Linked DNA regions of Caenorhabditis elegans. The protein of the gene in region 1 purifies or fractionates together with the protein of each later gene. This does not show direct contact. Each region holds a gene or a part of one and is shown in the gene's direction. Other genes may lie near its edges.

The links.
Region 2: the proteins of lin-28 (region 1) and pup-2 purify together in Caenorhabditis elegans (affinity purification with western blotting, with the first as the bait; one study listed by BioGRID). This does not show direct contact.

The regions. Positions count from the first base shown.
Region 1 is NC_003279.8:8,406,208-8,414,175, reverse strand, and holds lin-28 (Protein lin-28), read left to right. Parts: upstream 1-3,371; 5' UTR 3,372-3,372; coding exon 3,373-3,513; intron 3,514-4,255; exon of another isoform or gene 4,256-4,444; coding exon of another isoform or gene 4,445-4,492; intron 4,493-4,835; coding exon 4,836-5,042; intron 5,043-5,679; coding exon 5,680-6,015; 3' UTR 6,016-6,544; downstream 6,545-7,968. Other genes in the region: F02E9.7 (Tartrate-resistant acid phosphatase type 5), read right to left, coding at 115-205, 810-884; F02E9.1 (Vacuolar ATPase assembly protein VMA22), read right to left, coding at 6,587-6,658, 6,702-6,854, 6,909-6,993, 7,046-7,114, 7,165-7,250. UniProt on the Caenorhabditis elegans protein: Heterochronic protein which controls the choice of stage specific cell fates. Regulates the timing of the second larval stage events (L2 events) in the hypodermis.
Region 2 is NC_003281.10:5,182,560-5,189,947, forward strand, and holds pup-2 (PAP-associated domain-containing protein), read left to right. Parts: upstream 1-3,360; 5' UTR 3,361-3,456; coding exon 3,457-3,471; intron 3,472-3,518; coding exon 3,519-3,756; intron 3,757-3,831; coding exon 3,832-3,898; intron 3,899-3,948; coding exon 3,949-4,362; intron 4,363-4,423; coding exon 4,424-4,938; intron 4,939-4,986; coding exon 4,987-5,144; intron 5,145-5,206; coding exon 5,207-5,326; 3' UTR 5,327-6,027; downstream 6,028-7,388. Other genes in the region: K10D2.8 (Protein phosphatase 1 regulatory subunit 7), read left to right, coding at 6,178-6,241, 6,286-6,376, 6,572-6,821, 6,871-7,239, 7,285-7,367.

The DNA.
Region 1 (7,968 bases):
TTTCGAGAGAAAAAAATTAAATTTTAACAAAAAAGTTTTAAAAATTAGGATAAAATTAATAATTTAGTAAGAAGTGCACTCTAAAACCACCTAAATCCCTCATGAAAAACCAACTGGAGACTGCAATGAAGAAGATTGTCGAAATGCCGAAAAGTCCCACAAAACACATGATTTTTCGCATTTTCCGTCGAGATTTCACTTTTTGCTGAAATAAATTTATTTGAAAAAAAAGATTTTTGAGAAATTCAACTTATTGAGTGTTAAAAACATTTGTAATCTGAAATTCTAGAAAATTTAAATTTCAAAACAATACTAGGCAGTTAAAAAAAGAGAATAGTCAAGCGGAACTGATTTGTCATGAATTGGAATATAAGCCTATTAAAAAGGCTTATATTTCCAAAAAGGGATTACTCTTTGGCCTTAAACAATTCGAGATTTACTAGTTTTATCTGTTGGAATATTAAAATTTTGTTTTTAAAAATATGTTTTTGATATAAAATTTGAATGTTTTTTCAGAGGGCAACAATAACCACAATAAACTGATAAAACTTCATGAAATGATACCCTTTTTTTATGCAAATCGGTCGTTTTTGGGAAGTTTATGATTCATCGGAACTTTATTTTATTTTATTTTTATCTCATGTTTTTAATCGTGAGAAAATTTTGAGAAGGAAGAAAATGCAAGCTTATCGAATTGTCAATGATTTTCAATAATTAAAAAAAATGTTTTAAGCTAAATCGTGCAAAAATTACTTGAAATTTTTATATATTTATATTAAGTTATTGATTTTTTAAAATGCAAGACTTACTGGAAGATCAGGAAGAAATCGATCAAGTGATGACGAGCTACTGCGTTTTTCCAATTTTTCATCAACAAGCAGCATTTTCGGTAAAACTCTTCAAGCTTGAGGGTGCTCTGACCTGAAATTAATAAAAATTTATTCATTTTTATACAATTATTTATCAATTTGAGGAAAACATCGGTGGAAGGAAATTCAAACAATTTCGAAACTTTGAGTAATTTCTTAGATTTGAGAAAAATTACTAAGCGTTCCGCAATTAAATGAGTATTTTCAAAAGTTGGGCATCGATTTCTCTATTTTCCAGATATTTTCCGAAGATAACGACTGGATGTGTGAGCGTGTTATTGAGCGAATATAGAATGACGAACAATGTCTGTTTCTCGGCGTCTCTCACCTTTTCTTCTCTTTTACTTCGTTTTTTATCTGACTATGTTTGTTCTTACCGCAAGATAGCACGCGTGCTCCTTTGCGTCTGGGTTATAGATCAAAAAATGAAGAAACGGTTTTGCGGGGAGTTTTTTGGGGTTTTGGCCTAAATTTTTTTGTTTAATTTTGATGCTTGGTCTATGATGTGAAATTGAGAGTGTGAAGATTGAAAAAAATCGGAGATATATTTAAAAAATGAATGTGAATACGAGAAATCAATCAAAATAAACAATTATTCTAAAAAACAAATCGATAATTGAAACTTCCAGGTTACGGTAGTTTTAAAGGCACACAACAATTCACTTGCTTTGGGTCTCGCAGCGCATATGGTTCACTTTTTGAAAATTTTATTCTGAGCTTGATTTTCTCCATTTCAAACATGTTTTATTTAATTGAATTTAAGATTTATTTGTGTTTTCATTGTGAAATATTTATCCGAAAGTCTCACCAAGACATTTCTCGATATCTACTGCCATAAAACCCATCCAGCATTCCTGTCTGTCCGATCACATCTCGGAGCGCTTTTCTGTTGAAAAAACCTTGGCATTGAAAAATAGCGTGTGAGATGAAGAAATACAAAGAAAACAAGAATAGAGAGGAAACGGGGCACAAACGAAGAGACAAGAAAATGATGTGTGCAAGGCGTTTGTGTTTCGGTTTCAACACTATTTAAAATATTCGTTTTTCTTTTGGTTTCTGGGTTTTGAAACCAGTATTTAATTATAACTTAAATTTTTCAAAAGCTAGAAAATCATTGATAAAAGCTTTTTTTTTAATTTTTAAGTTATTTTCGATTCCGCAGAAAATCTTTTGCACTATGAAATCAAAAAGATACCAATCATCAAAAACCTCTGAATCTCATCTCTTTCCCGTCGAAAAAATAACATAAAACATTCGTTGCCACCAGATATCCACCAACTGTTGATTATATCAGATCATCTCATTTTTATCTCCATTCCATCACTTCAAAGCCTCTTTGCAACGAAGGTGAGAAAGAAATTGAAAATTCTGCTTCTCTTCATCTCTTCTCACCGTTCTTATCTGCTTGTCAGTTCTTTTTTTGCGGCGGTTAAATATCATTCAATTTTCAATTCATTTTCTTATTCGACAATTCTCTCCTCTGCACCTAAGATCACCTGCATCACGTTTAATCCAATATGGGTGGTTTAATCAAGTCTTATAGAAAGAAATATGAATAGCTGGAAATTGATATTTCTTTTTTTCTAACTTGGAAACAACCTGATAATACATTAGTTCAAATCGAAATTTGGACTTTTGGAATAATTTGGAAAAACCAAATGCAGATGTAGAGGTGAAATAAAATTACTGTTCCAAAAAAAAAAAAAATACTGTTCCATGCTCATTTCTTTTTCCAATTTCTTTTCCATCTCCTATTGATACTGAATAAGTGATTCCTTTTTTCCGATATATCGCCCTCCGGCGCCCTGCTCCCCTTGTATAATTTCTCTTTATCTCTACCACTCTCCCCACTTTCAATGATCACTTTTTGTCCTGGCGCCTGACCCTTCGTCCATCCGATGCCGTCCATTTTTCATCTCTTTTTCTCTGCATTTCTCCATTTTTATCATACTATTTCCGTTCATTTTTCTTTTAGTATGGTGTAGAAATAGTTGTTCACGGTGGTTCAGTTGCTAGATGGGTGCAAACGCGCTCCACCGAACAAACATGCATAACTTGGCAGGGAAGTACAAAATCAAACATTCATCACAAATAAAGATAGATAATTTCATTGCGGTCATTTCTTATATGCATCGCAAAATCGACTTTGTGACGGTTTTCGAGATAGTAGCCAATATATGTTTCCAGACTGAGTATCATGAACAAACCCATCTAGTTTCTGTGCTACCGGGTGTTGATGGACGCTACTGCAAGCGCGCTGTGTTGAGGACAATAGATGATTGGCGCGGTGCCAACATCATCCGTTTGTTCAGTTTTGACATTTTCCAATCTTGCTTCTATTTGAATTTATAGTTTCTTTCTATAATTTTAATTTCATCATCGGAAGTTCAGCAATGCTTTTAATTAAAAATCTCACAATTAAGTACTGAACTACATATATGTATATTACTTTATTTAAATACGTGACGATTCTCAAAAAAAAATTTTAAAAATCTTTTTCAGGATGTCGACGGTAGTATCGGAGGGAAGGAATGATGGGAATAACCGATATTCACCACAAGATGAAGTTGAAGATAGGCTGCCAGATGTAGTTGACAATAGGCTTACTGAGAACATGAGAGTTCCTTCCTTCGAGAGGCTCCCGGTAAGTTTTTAGTTTTTTGTTTAGAATTATAAAATTATCTAATTTCCGAAAATTTTTCGTTTAAGCCAAGTTTTAATTCTCAATTTTTAAGCATAGTTAATTATAAAACATTTTCGCAAATGACTCTAAAATTAACTTTGACAATTCAATCAAACCTTACTGAATCTATCGAAACCCAGAAACAGTTTTATTTTGGTTTCTGGTGTTCCAATTTTTAGATTTTCAGAAATTTTCGGTAAATATTTTTGTAACAGTTTTTAGTTGAAGACTCCAAATATTTTTTTTGATATTTCGAAAATGTCAGTTAAGGATTTGGTACATTTCCTAAAATTTTGATCTTATTGAGAAATTTCTAGCATTGTTACACTTTTTATGATGATAATCGACCATTTAAGCATAGTACAGATAGTTTCAAACAATTTTGGAATTACTCTGACTTTGAAATTTTTTTTTTAATTGTAGAAACTTGTTTTCTTAGAATTACGCATTCTTACAAAAGATATAGAATGTTCATAAGATGTTTGAGTCGATTTCCCATTAACTGCAGGTGCATTTCATTCTTCCATCATCCGTAAATCATTATTTGGTATACGGTATCTCTCTCCTTTCTAACACTTCCGCGCGGAATAAAAACAGAGATTCAGAGAAATAGAGAGAGGTCAGCTGAGAAGAAGAAGTGTCGCGCACACAGCTCCTCGCCCAATGCCCTCCTGTCGGTTTCTCTGTGAACACTCCACATTTCAAATGATCTCTAATTCAGTTCCTCCACCGCTCACTCATCCTTTCCTCGAATCTCTGGGTTTCCTCGCCACTCTTTTTTTCTCTGTGCTCTCTCTCACCCATTACTATTATTATTTGTATGTGTGGTATTGTTGTTCTGTATATTTGATAGGTTGTATTCTCTAGTTAACACATAGTTCTAATTAGAACAATGATTGAAGCCGCTTTGGAGAATCCGGTGCCCATCAAATCTCAATTGGTATGTAACTAATTGAAATTGCAACTGAAAAAATATCACTGTTTATTTATTGATTCGATTGTAAATAGTCTCGAATTTCCAGTGACGATTCGGGGTAAAACCGGAAAAAAAGTAATTTATAAATAAAAGTCGGAGCGACGAGAAGAGCTTTAATTAAAAATATCTTAACGGTTTAGCAATTTAAAAAAAATATTTAGTTACCTAAATACTTTGAGAGTGGATTATTTATGGTGTTAAAATGAGGAAATATTACTGAAAACTCAGTAAATTAAAAAATTTATATAAAGAAGATGTCAATTAATAACTGCGTCATAATGCCTTTCAAATAATTTAATTTTTTCAGTCACCAACACCTCGATACTTTGGCTCATGCAAATGGTTTAATGTGTCGAAAGGATATGGTTTTGTGATCGATGACATCACCGGTGAAGATCTATTCGTTCATCAGTCTAATCTCAATATGCAAGGATTTCGGAGTCTTGATGAAGGAGAACGTGTATCATACTACATTCAAGAGCGATCGAATGGAAAAGGTAGAGAAGCTTATGCGGTTCGTTTTATTTTTATTTTTTCTAACAGCAAAAGTTAAAAAAAAGGTCAGCGTTCTTTAAATTTGTTTTTTCATCAAAAAAACCTGACAAAAATCAAGCATAATTCATAAAAGCTTTTCCTATTCTGTCAATTAGAAAGTATATTAGTTCTTACGAATTCTCTTTAATCTTTGTCAGTATTTTTGAAAAATAATATTTAAAAACTAAAAAAAAACGCTGCTTTAACCTATATTTTGAATGCGAGAGAAACTTTGCTTATGGTATTTTTGCGCAATTTATTGAGATACGGGAATCCGAAATTCTGAGAATGCGTATTGCACAACATATTTGACGCGCAAAATATCTCGTAGCGACAACTACAGTAATCATTTTAATGACTATTGTAGCTGTGTCGATTTAGGGGCAAAAAAAACACGAAGAATAAAAAAGAAATATCGCTGTCACTATTCGAAAAGAATTTCATTCGAGATCGTAAATCGGCACTAGCGCTAATTACAGTAGTATTAAAAAAATTACTGTAGTTTTCGCTACAGGATATGTTGTCAATGCGCATTCTCAGTTTTTTGTTCCAGTGCAATATTAAAGCAAAATAATAATGTAAATTGAAAATCCAACTCAATTTTATACAGTTTTCAGGTATCAGGAGAAGTAGAAGGACAAGGACTGAAAGGAAGCCGAATTCATCCATTGGGTCGTAAGAAGGCTGTCTCACTACGTTGCTTCAGATGTGGAAAGTTTGCGACTCACAAGGCGAAAAGTTGTCCAAACGTAAAAACCGATGCAAAAGTGTGTTATACCTGTGGATCCGAGGAGCACGTGAGCTCAATCTGTCCTGAAAGACGACGAAAGCATCGACCGGAACAAGTTGCCGCAGAGGAAGCAGAAGCTGCGAGAATGGCAGCTGAAAAATCATCACCGACTACATCTGACGATGATATTAGAGAAAAGAATAGTAATTCCTCTGATGAATAGAATCATCTAGACACTGAGAATATTGATAGAGAAATAATGGAATATATGGTCTCAAATAGATTTTGTCTCGAAATTCTTGAACATCCAAATTTAAATGTGAAAATTTTAGGAAATAATTTTGAGCTTTCTGATAGTTTTTCAGCTTTTGAAATGTATTTTATTTTGAAACCAATATTTATTTCATTTTCTGTCTCATCTAATTCTCAGTTTGCATGCGTTACTTTAACTTACACACTAACTCTTTTTTTATTCAAATTTTGATGTTTTTTTTTCAATTGTTTTACTCAAATTTCCCCTCTAAACCATACTACCACCTACCTCCTCAAATTGCACTCTCAGGGATTCTTTTTTTTTTCAAATAGAACTGATTGCACCTGTTTTCAGGATCTATAAATCTTATAATATATTTAACTTTCGTGTCTTTTCATGTTCATGTATTTCTTGCTGAAATCCATCATTTTCTCTGAAAATCTCTACTCGTAAGTTCCGCTATTGCGGGCGAACGCTGAAATAAATCGAGAGTTTTGTTTTTATATTGATTGAATACATATTTATCACAGAATCATGCAATTTAACAATCCTCAACAAGTTGGCGGGATTTGGCAAGAATTGATTGTTGGGTGGATACAAGGTCGAGAATCGTCTGAAAAATGGATTTGAAATTAAATTCCTGAGATTTTCAATACCTGAATAGAATTTCTATAAATTTTTCGAGCGTCCTTTGCAGCAGCCGGCTCAAGAACCCCAAACGGACGGAATTGTCCAGAAAATGTTTTTTTGGCTTCTTCAACGTCTTCTGATTCTCCGCTATTCTTCTTTTCTGATTTATTCTCGTCCTTCTGCAAAAAATTTAAATGTAAATTTTTGTGGAACAAAAAACGATTGCAAAAAACCTTTTTCTTATTCTTTTTGTCGTTTTTCTCTTCCTCATTCTCTGAATTTTTGAGAAGTACAAATTTCCCGTTTTTCGTATCCAATCTAAAAATGAATACACTTAAGTAAGTATAATTCAAAAAAAAGTAGTTTATACCTGATAGATGGCTCCAAATCGTGTGTATCGACAGAATTAACACTGAAAAGACCAATTCCGTGCGTTGTTCTGAACAATTTCTCGATAAAGATTCATTTTACGAAACGAATAAAACTTACTTTGCTTTAGAAATACACAAACTTGCCAAGTTCAAGTCTTTTCGAAGTTGATCGTGAAGGGTGATGAATTTGTCGATTAATTCCATTTTTTCGAGGTATAAATCATTTTTCTGATTTATTGATTGCGCAGGCATCACTGGAAATATACGCTTTTATTGTAAAGCAGTAAGGAAAAAGAGAAAATGATTGAAAAAAGCAGAGAACGATCAAAAATTGGTTGAAACAGCAAGTGCGCCCTATTGCACAATGCTAATGAAAACCGAGGGAATTCAAATTAGAAATGTCGATGGGTCACACAACATTTTGTCCTAGAGTATTTAATTTAAATAATCGGAAATTTCTGAACAATCTTGGAAAAGTTGAAGCTAACAATAAAATGTATATAAATCCAGTATTTAAATTAATTTTTTTCTATAAAAACCCAAGGTCGGAGAGATTACGTGTGAGATAATAATCCAGAAACAAAACAATTCAGTTCTTATAAGTTATTTCGTTGGCGATCGCAAAACGAGAAGATTTGCACTCAAATCGTAAGTTTTAATCAGATTTCTTTCGGGTTTGAGATTTCCGTCGTTGGCATTGCTTCAAGCCTACTTGCATACTTAATACCTTCGTGAACTTTGTGTTTGATGCTACAGTTGTAGTAATTTCGATTGGTTTTGTTGAAAATCAGAATAAAGAAAGCAAGGCTCTAGGCTGCTGGTAGGCACGAGGCAGGCGAAGGCATAGGTTCCTACTGTGGAGGAATACGGTAACGCCATTAGTACGCAAACATAGCGGTTCTCACGACAAAATGCTTTGGTA
Region 2 (7,388 bases), on another chromosome or scaffold:
ATGGACACGCAAAATATTAGTATCCAAGGGCTCATTCTCAGCTTTTGATTGGCCGATTCAGATTGACTCAAACCTAAAATTCTTTCCTATTCCCTTTTATAAAGTTGATAAGAATTCAAAAACATTCACACTTCTATGTCGTTCTCCGTGTTTTTCGTTTTTCTCCATCAGAACACCACTCATAACTATTATTTTTGATGTGTTCCAAACGTTCAGCCTGCAGAGACGTTTTCTCCTATTTTTGCGCCGAAATTGCATTGTTTTGTGTGCAAAGTAGGTGTCATTTGGTGCGCAGGTGTGTGTAGAACTCGAGAAAGAGGTTAATTGTCAGTGTGTACCACGTCATTTTATTCTAGGATAATATATGTAAATCATGAGCTATATTTGGTTTTTTTCTTGAATTGAGCACGTTGGCGTGTTACACTTCTAAAGTTTTGTGGTTCGTATACGGTTTCGAATTTCACCTTCTTCCTGTTTTCTCTTTTTATCTGATAAGACACAGCGAGTTGTTTGTTGTTTATTGGTTGGCTGGTTCCGCAGTCAATACTAACTGTGTGTTCTTTTTCACAATCTCTCTCGTTAGGCGTTCCCCCGATGAAAAGTATTGTTGTTTGATTTATATAGTAGTTTTCAAGTTTTCTTTTTTTTTAATTTGAATTTATTACAACAGTGAAATTGTTCATCTAGATTAAGAGGCTCTAGATTTTATTGTAAATATGAATTCAAGATTCAAGCAAATCTTGTTTTTTTAAATGCATTCAAGCGTTAGTTATCCAGAAATAATCTAATACAAAGAGTTTCATTCTGAAAAAGGAAAATACGAGAAATACTACCGTGTCGAACTTTAGAATGTTTTATCTAAATAGTCAAGATTTAGAATATTCTTTTTAAAACCGGATTTGAAGATCTTGATGTTCATATCTATCACTACTCTTCATGCCACTCGTCATCTATTATTTAGCCCAAGAGAGCATGATGTCGATACGGGATGACAGATGTTCCCGCCGTGGTTGCATTAAGACCAGACATGCACACATGCACAGAAGGCGTAAATACTTTATCGCACTCGTTCTCCTTCCCTCTCATTCTCTCATTCTTCCCGCTCTTTTTCTGTTTTTTCTAATGGTAGACGCACCACGTGTGCAGGCATGCTGTCCCTATTCTCCTTTGTATTCAATTTTCCTATTTTTCAACGTGTTCGTCTTCTGGGAGTTCTCATAAAGCTGCAAAATATTGCAAGTTTTGAGGAAATTCGTTTCCTTTCGAGTTGAAATGTTTTCAGTTCAGATTTGTAAATCTACTTTCAATGACAGAATTTTCTGTGTTATAATAACAATTTCTCGTTGTCTATAGAGCTGCGGTTTTCTTTCCCAATTTCGTCAGAATAATATGAGGTTGTCATGGAGTGCTGTTGTACAGCGTCAACTTGCCAAATTCTAGAATGTTATATTTATGTTATTGGTTTCGGAAAATAATGCCCTCTGGTTCCACTTAATTTCGAAGAGAATACTGATAATTATTAGTTCTTCCCGTGACGAATTGGTAATTACGTCTCCGTTTTCTTATAATTCAGACCACACAAGTAGTTTTGGAAGTTTCTCTAAGAAAAGGCTACGTGACGATGATGTTTTCTGAAAATGCTATGAATAGTATAATCCACATTTTTCATCTGGCAAGATTTATCTTAAAACATAAATATACTCCAGTTTATCATATAACTTTCAAATGGCCTAATCTATATTTCACTGGTTTTTGAAATATTCTTCGGTAAACTTTTGGTATTTTGGATTTTGGATTTGGTAAATGGTAAAAGTGTCACATTATATTTGCATTGATGTTTCGTCACTACATCCTTGATGTTTTTAGGCGTTAGTAAATGGAATGGAATGAAAGATTAAGAAGTAGGTCATTGTTTCTATAATGGATTAATCTAACAAAGAGCAGAAGGTTTTTCTTTTTTTGCAACGCTTTTTTGACTTCTGAAAAGCAAGAATTAAGAAAATATATACTTTTAATTCCCTATATCCCAGTTTTAGCGAAATTATCGATTCTGGAATATTATCCAGTTCGTATGAAGTTTTCTCACAAAAATTGTTATAATAACCAAGCGATCTGTGAGTAATATGAGTTGTTGATATGTTAGGAATATCCAGATCGAGAAGACTCATGCATAGTGAATCATACACGTCTTTCTCTATTTTTTCTTACTTTTGGTCTTCTTTTCTTCACAGTTGTTGACTTTGTCGTCATTCCTAAATTGGAATAAAGTCATTTCTTTTTTAGTGTACGAGAACGACAAAGACAAGCATTGGCTCATAGTCAGCAGGAAGCGTTTCACTTTCACTTTTTTCATTTTATATGGTAGATGGCATCCCGGATAGGTGATTGAAAAGACAGATGCCAGCTCTAGTTTTGGTTTCCGAGCCATCATGTTAGTCAGACTGTCCTTTTTCTCTTGGGATCTCTAGGGGATGTCCTCGGAGAGCCCTTTTCTGTTGGAATTATTTTAAAAAGTTGTACTTTACATTTTAGTATAAATGACCTAATGTAGGGCAAAGTATCAATTATTTCATTTATTCATAGAGAGGCGTCCTAGAGCGAATCAGTTTTATGCACAGCGGTCTCGTGTAAGATTTCTATATATCCATAATTTATTTTTCAATTTTCACTGAAATAATTAGCTAATGTAGTGGTCAGAATTCGTATACGTCAAGAGTAGCTTTCTCATATGGAAATTTGTGTTTTTTAACCAAAAAACACATTTTGTTCCTAGCTATTGTTGGGTGTGAACTGAGGACGCATGTTCCTGCAGTCCAATGAAGCTCGCCCAGTAAACAAAGTGAGAATTGGTGTGAATGGACGTGCCGGGGTGCTCTGAGAAGACGTTGTAGAATAATTCATGTGGAATGGGATAGAAGAGTCGAAACGTCTGGCGAATTCAGTTGAACGTTTATCCCGCAAAACGGGAAAGGTCCAACAAGTATGTACTCCACCGCTACAGCTTTTTTTACTTCAAAAAAATGGAAAAGTACGCTCGGCTAAACCTCTTAAATTGAGTTCCAATTTTTCAAAACCTTTTTGAGAATGAAAATTATGAAGACCAGTCGAGCAACAACATTTTAATTTAAAACATGAGAAAATAAAAGAATCCATTGCTGTGAATGACAAATGAGGTAATTTGCTTATTTCGGTTTCTCATTCTGCTATTCTAGTCATTATTTTCCTAGAAATGAATATATATTTTTTAGTTTTTCCTCTCCAAAGGTTTTTCTCTGACTTATTCTTTGAACTTTACTCCTTATCGTGATTTCTCTTTTTTTTTGTTGATATTTCTTCTATTAATTTTCAAAATTATTTCAGTATGGAGTGCTAGAAAAGCTCAAACACGCGGTACAACACACACATTCACTGGACACCACTGACCACAAGATCCCTCACATCAACTGACACTTACTAATGACAGTTATTCAGGTAAATATTAAATTTTCCTAAAACTAAAATAATATCCTACTTTTCAGAAGTCGTCTCCTACAGTGAAAGGAGTGAAGACAACAACATCAGATTGCACCGAAAGACGTCACTCATCGAGTTCACCTTGCAAAATGAGTCAAAACGGAAGCAGTGGATACTATGAAGGAGATGTTTTACTGGATGATGATGCTCTTGTTTCGATGCCAGAAGCAACGCTCATTGAGTGCTTTGGTAATCTGGCTGTCACAAAAAGACCTGCACATCTGAGACCTCCGGCAGCTTTCTGTACGTTTTTTCCGTTATACGAAGAAAATTTAATATCTTTTAAAAAAATAATAATCACAAATTGGAATTTTACAGGTCTACCGTTTGTATCAATGAACAACGATTTGACGAGCGGACATGCCTTGAAACATATCACATTGACGTTAGTTTTCGAGTTAATTTTACTTTTATTTAAAAAAAAAACATTTTTAGATCAGTATTCGACGCACTACATCCGTACGTTGCCATGCCGTACATCAACAGAATGGATATATGCTCTGCAATGAACGTATATTGGATCAGAAACTGTTTGGAAGCTGAACAATCCGATTTATTTCATCGATTCGCTCTGGAAATGCAAGTACATTTGAGTGCATGTTTTGGATGTCGCGTTGTCCTGGATATCTATGGATCAACCAGAAACGGATTCGGTACCCGATTCTGTGATGTTGATATGTCACTTTCTTTTTCACCGAGTCCACCTTCATGGGCAACCAATTCGGATCGAGTGATGAGAGCTGTTGCGAAGGCACTTGTCGATTTTCCGAAAGCAGTTGATGAGAGATATGTCAACGCCAAAGTTCCAATTGTCAGATTCAGAAGCAGTGACATGGATATGGAAGCAGAGTAAGTTTTTATAAAATCTTGATCTTGTCAGAACTTTAAATTAAAATTCTAATTATTTCAGCATCAGTTACAAGAATGATTTGGCTCTTCACAATACTCAGCTTTTGCAACAATACTGCAAATGGGATCCCGAAAGACTACCGACTCTTGGAGTTTGGGTCAAAGCGTGGGCGAAACGAAGTGGAGTTGGAGATGCATCAAAAGGATCGCTGTCTTCATATGCTTGGATTGTGATGCTTATTCATTATCTTCAGCAAGTCGAACCAATTCCTGTGTTGCCATGTCTTCAGGAAATGAACCATCAGAAAAGTGAAAATGTCTACGTCCAAGGTTACAACACGTATTATTGGAAATTCGTAGACACTGCTCGTACACGACGTTGTCGTGCTTCTGTCGTTGATTTGTTCGTTGGATTCTTGGATTACTATGCCACATACTTTGACTACTCCACAAATGTTATCCAGATGGTGTCCAAGAAATTGGAATTCAAACCGGATCGCTGGTGCAAGTATCCAATGTGTATTGCTGATCCGTTCGAGACGGATCATAATTTGGCACAAGGTGTTGATATGCCAAGTGAGCTATTAGAAACCTTGTTTATTCCATTAATTTCCTTATTTTCAGTGTTTGAATACATTAGATCGTGTATGGAACACTCGAAGAAAGTATTCACGGATCGCCGCATGCGCTCGGAGTTTCTTTCGGGATACGGGTTCGACGTTGACGAATTTGATGCAAGGCATCGAGGCGAAATGAACATGGAAATGGCGTCACAATTTGGGGTAAGAATAGTCATTCTTTAATTTTTTTAAAAGAAAATTTTGATTTGTTAAAACATTTTTAGGAATTCCTTCTTCACAAGTGCATAATGGTGAAACAAGCCCCGAATCGTCAATTCCGTGATCGCAGTATGAGTCAATCGACGAGCATAAGCAACACATCGAGTATTTCCTCGTCGGGATAGTTTTTCATACGTGTTTCTTCTCATCATCATCATTTTTTTATCGAAGAACGGTATCCAGGAGCTTTTTTTATAATTTGTCAAAACTCCCGGGTATTCATTCTTTCTCTTTTCTAACCTAACCTTTACAAACCGATCACAAAATTTATTAATTACCCCTTTATTAACCTTTTTTATCACAAGTCCTAGTGATTCCTAGTGCATCCATTGCCCATTTTAATTGTATATGTACATAATTGAACCCCATCCCCACCCGACATCACAACCTCATCAATTTTTCTCAAAACTTTTCAAAAATCGCGCCTTTTCTTCCCATTTTTGTGGGTCTTGATATTCACACACACAGCCGGCTCTGTATTCAAAAAATCTCAAAAAATCATGCGCAAAGTCACTTTTCTCTCCATGTGTCCCCTCATTTGAACAAAAAAAATGTATAAAATCACAAGAGCTGGTTCTCGGAAATTGTTTTCACCCGTTTATGTATTTTCATCTCCCTTCTCATATTTCCCTGTGTGAATGTAAATTGACTCACTAAATTAATTTCTTTATTCCACCTGATTTCGAGACTAATAAGTCTGAGCTTAATTACCCTCCCTGCATCCAAATTCCCCAAATAATATTAACGATCAAGTTTTATCAACTGTTGATTTTTCTTTCTACGGCTCTCTTAAAATATTCAAGTCCCTCCTCACTAATTCCCTCCCCCCCCCCCTTTTTTTCTTTTATTACATACGAATTTTTCTTGTAATAAAAATTGAGCCTAGACGTGAACTTTGCATAAATCGCCAACAAAAAACCACGTGATTCTTTTCAAAACACGTTGTTCAATAATAAAAACAAATCATTTTGCGAGAATGTTGCAAATTGAGAAAATTGTTTCGAATAAAGGAAATGGTGATATTATCAAGGAAATAATTTGTAAGTTGGAAAACACATTTTCAGATAATATTCCAGAGTTTCAGCTCACAATGTTGATGAAGATATCACCGAATTGAGTCTGATTCGTCATAGAATTCAGAAAATCTGGCAATTTGAAAATACTCCAGGTATTAGGTACGTTTTCTGTAAATTGTAATATCCAGTTGCGAAAGCTTACGGTTTCGGATGGTACCGGGTCTCGACACGATCGAAAGTTTTTAGCTACTGAATTTATTGCAAAAGTATACTTGTAGGTACGGTAGCTTCAAAATTTTGGTCGTGTCGAGACCTTTTTTTTAAAGATTTGACTTAATTTTTTAATTTTCTTAGAGATCTGTCTCTTCGCTGGAATCTTTTGAAGAAGATTGATCATTTCCAATGTCTCACTTCTCTGACACGTCTCAATTTGAATGATAATCAAATTGAAAAACTCGAAAATTTGGAAACTCTGGTGAATCTAGTATTTCTCGATGTCTCCTACAATCGTATAACGAAAATTGAAGGACTTTCCGAATTGATTAATTTGGAGGAGCTTCATTTAGTTCATAACAAGATTATTACCATTGAAGGACTCGAAACGGTAGTGCAGTAGAGCGTGATTTCACTCAACAATTATTTGAAAATTTCAGAATACTGCTATGAAATACTTGGAATTTGGTGATAACCGCATTCAAAAAATGGAAAATCTGTCTCATTTGGTCAATTTGGAGCGTCTTTTCCTCGGAGCCAACCAAATTCGTAAAATCGAGGGACTTGACGGAATGGCTCAATTGAAAGAGCTTAGTCTTCCTGGAAATGCTCTTCAAATCATCGAAGGTCTTGACACGTTGTCCGGATTGAAATCAATCAGTTTGGCTCAGAATGGAATTCGAAAAATTGATGGGCTTTCTGGGTTGACGAATCTCAAATCGTTGGATTTAAACGATAATATTATTGAGAAACTCGAAAATGTGGAACAGTTCAAGGGAATTAGTAGTCTTATGATTCGTAAGAATAAAGTAAGCAAAAAATTTATAATTTTACAACTTTACAATTATTTTTAGCTCAATTGTTGGCAAGACGTCCGTCAGTTGAAGAAACTTGAGAATCTCACAGTCTTGACTATGGAAATGAACCCACTTTACAGGTGAACACATTTTTTTAGAAA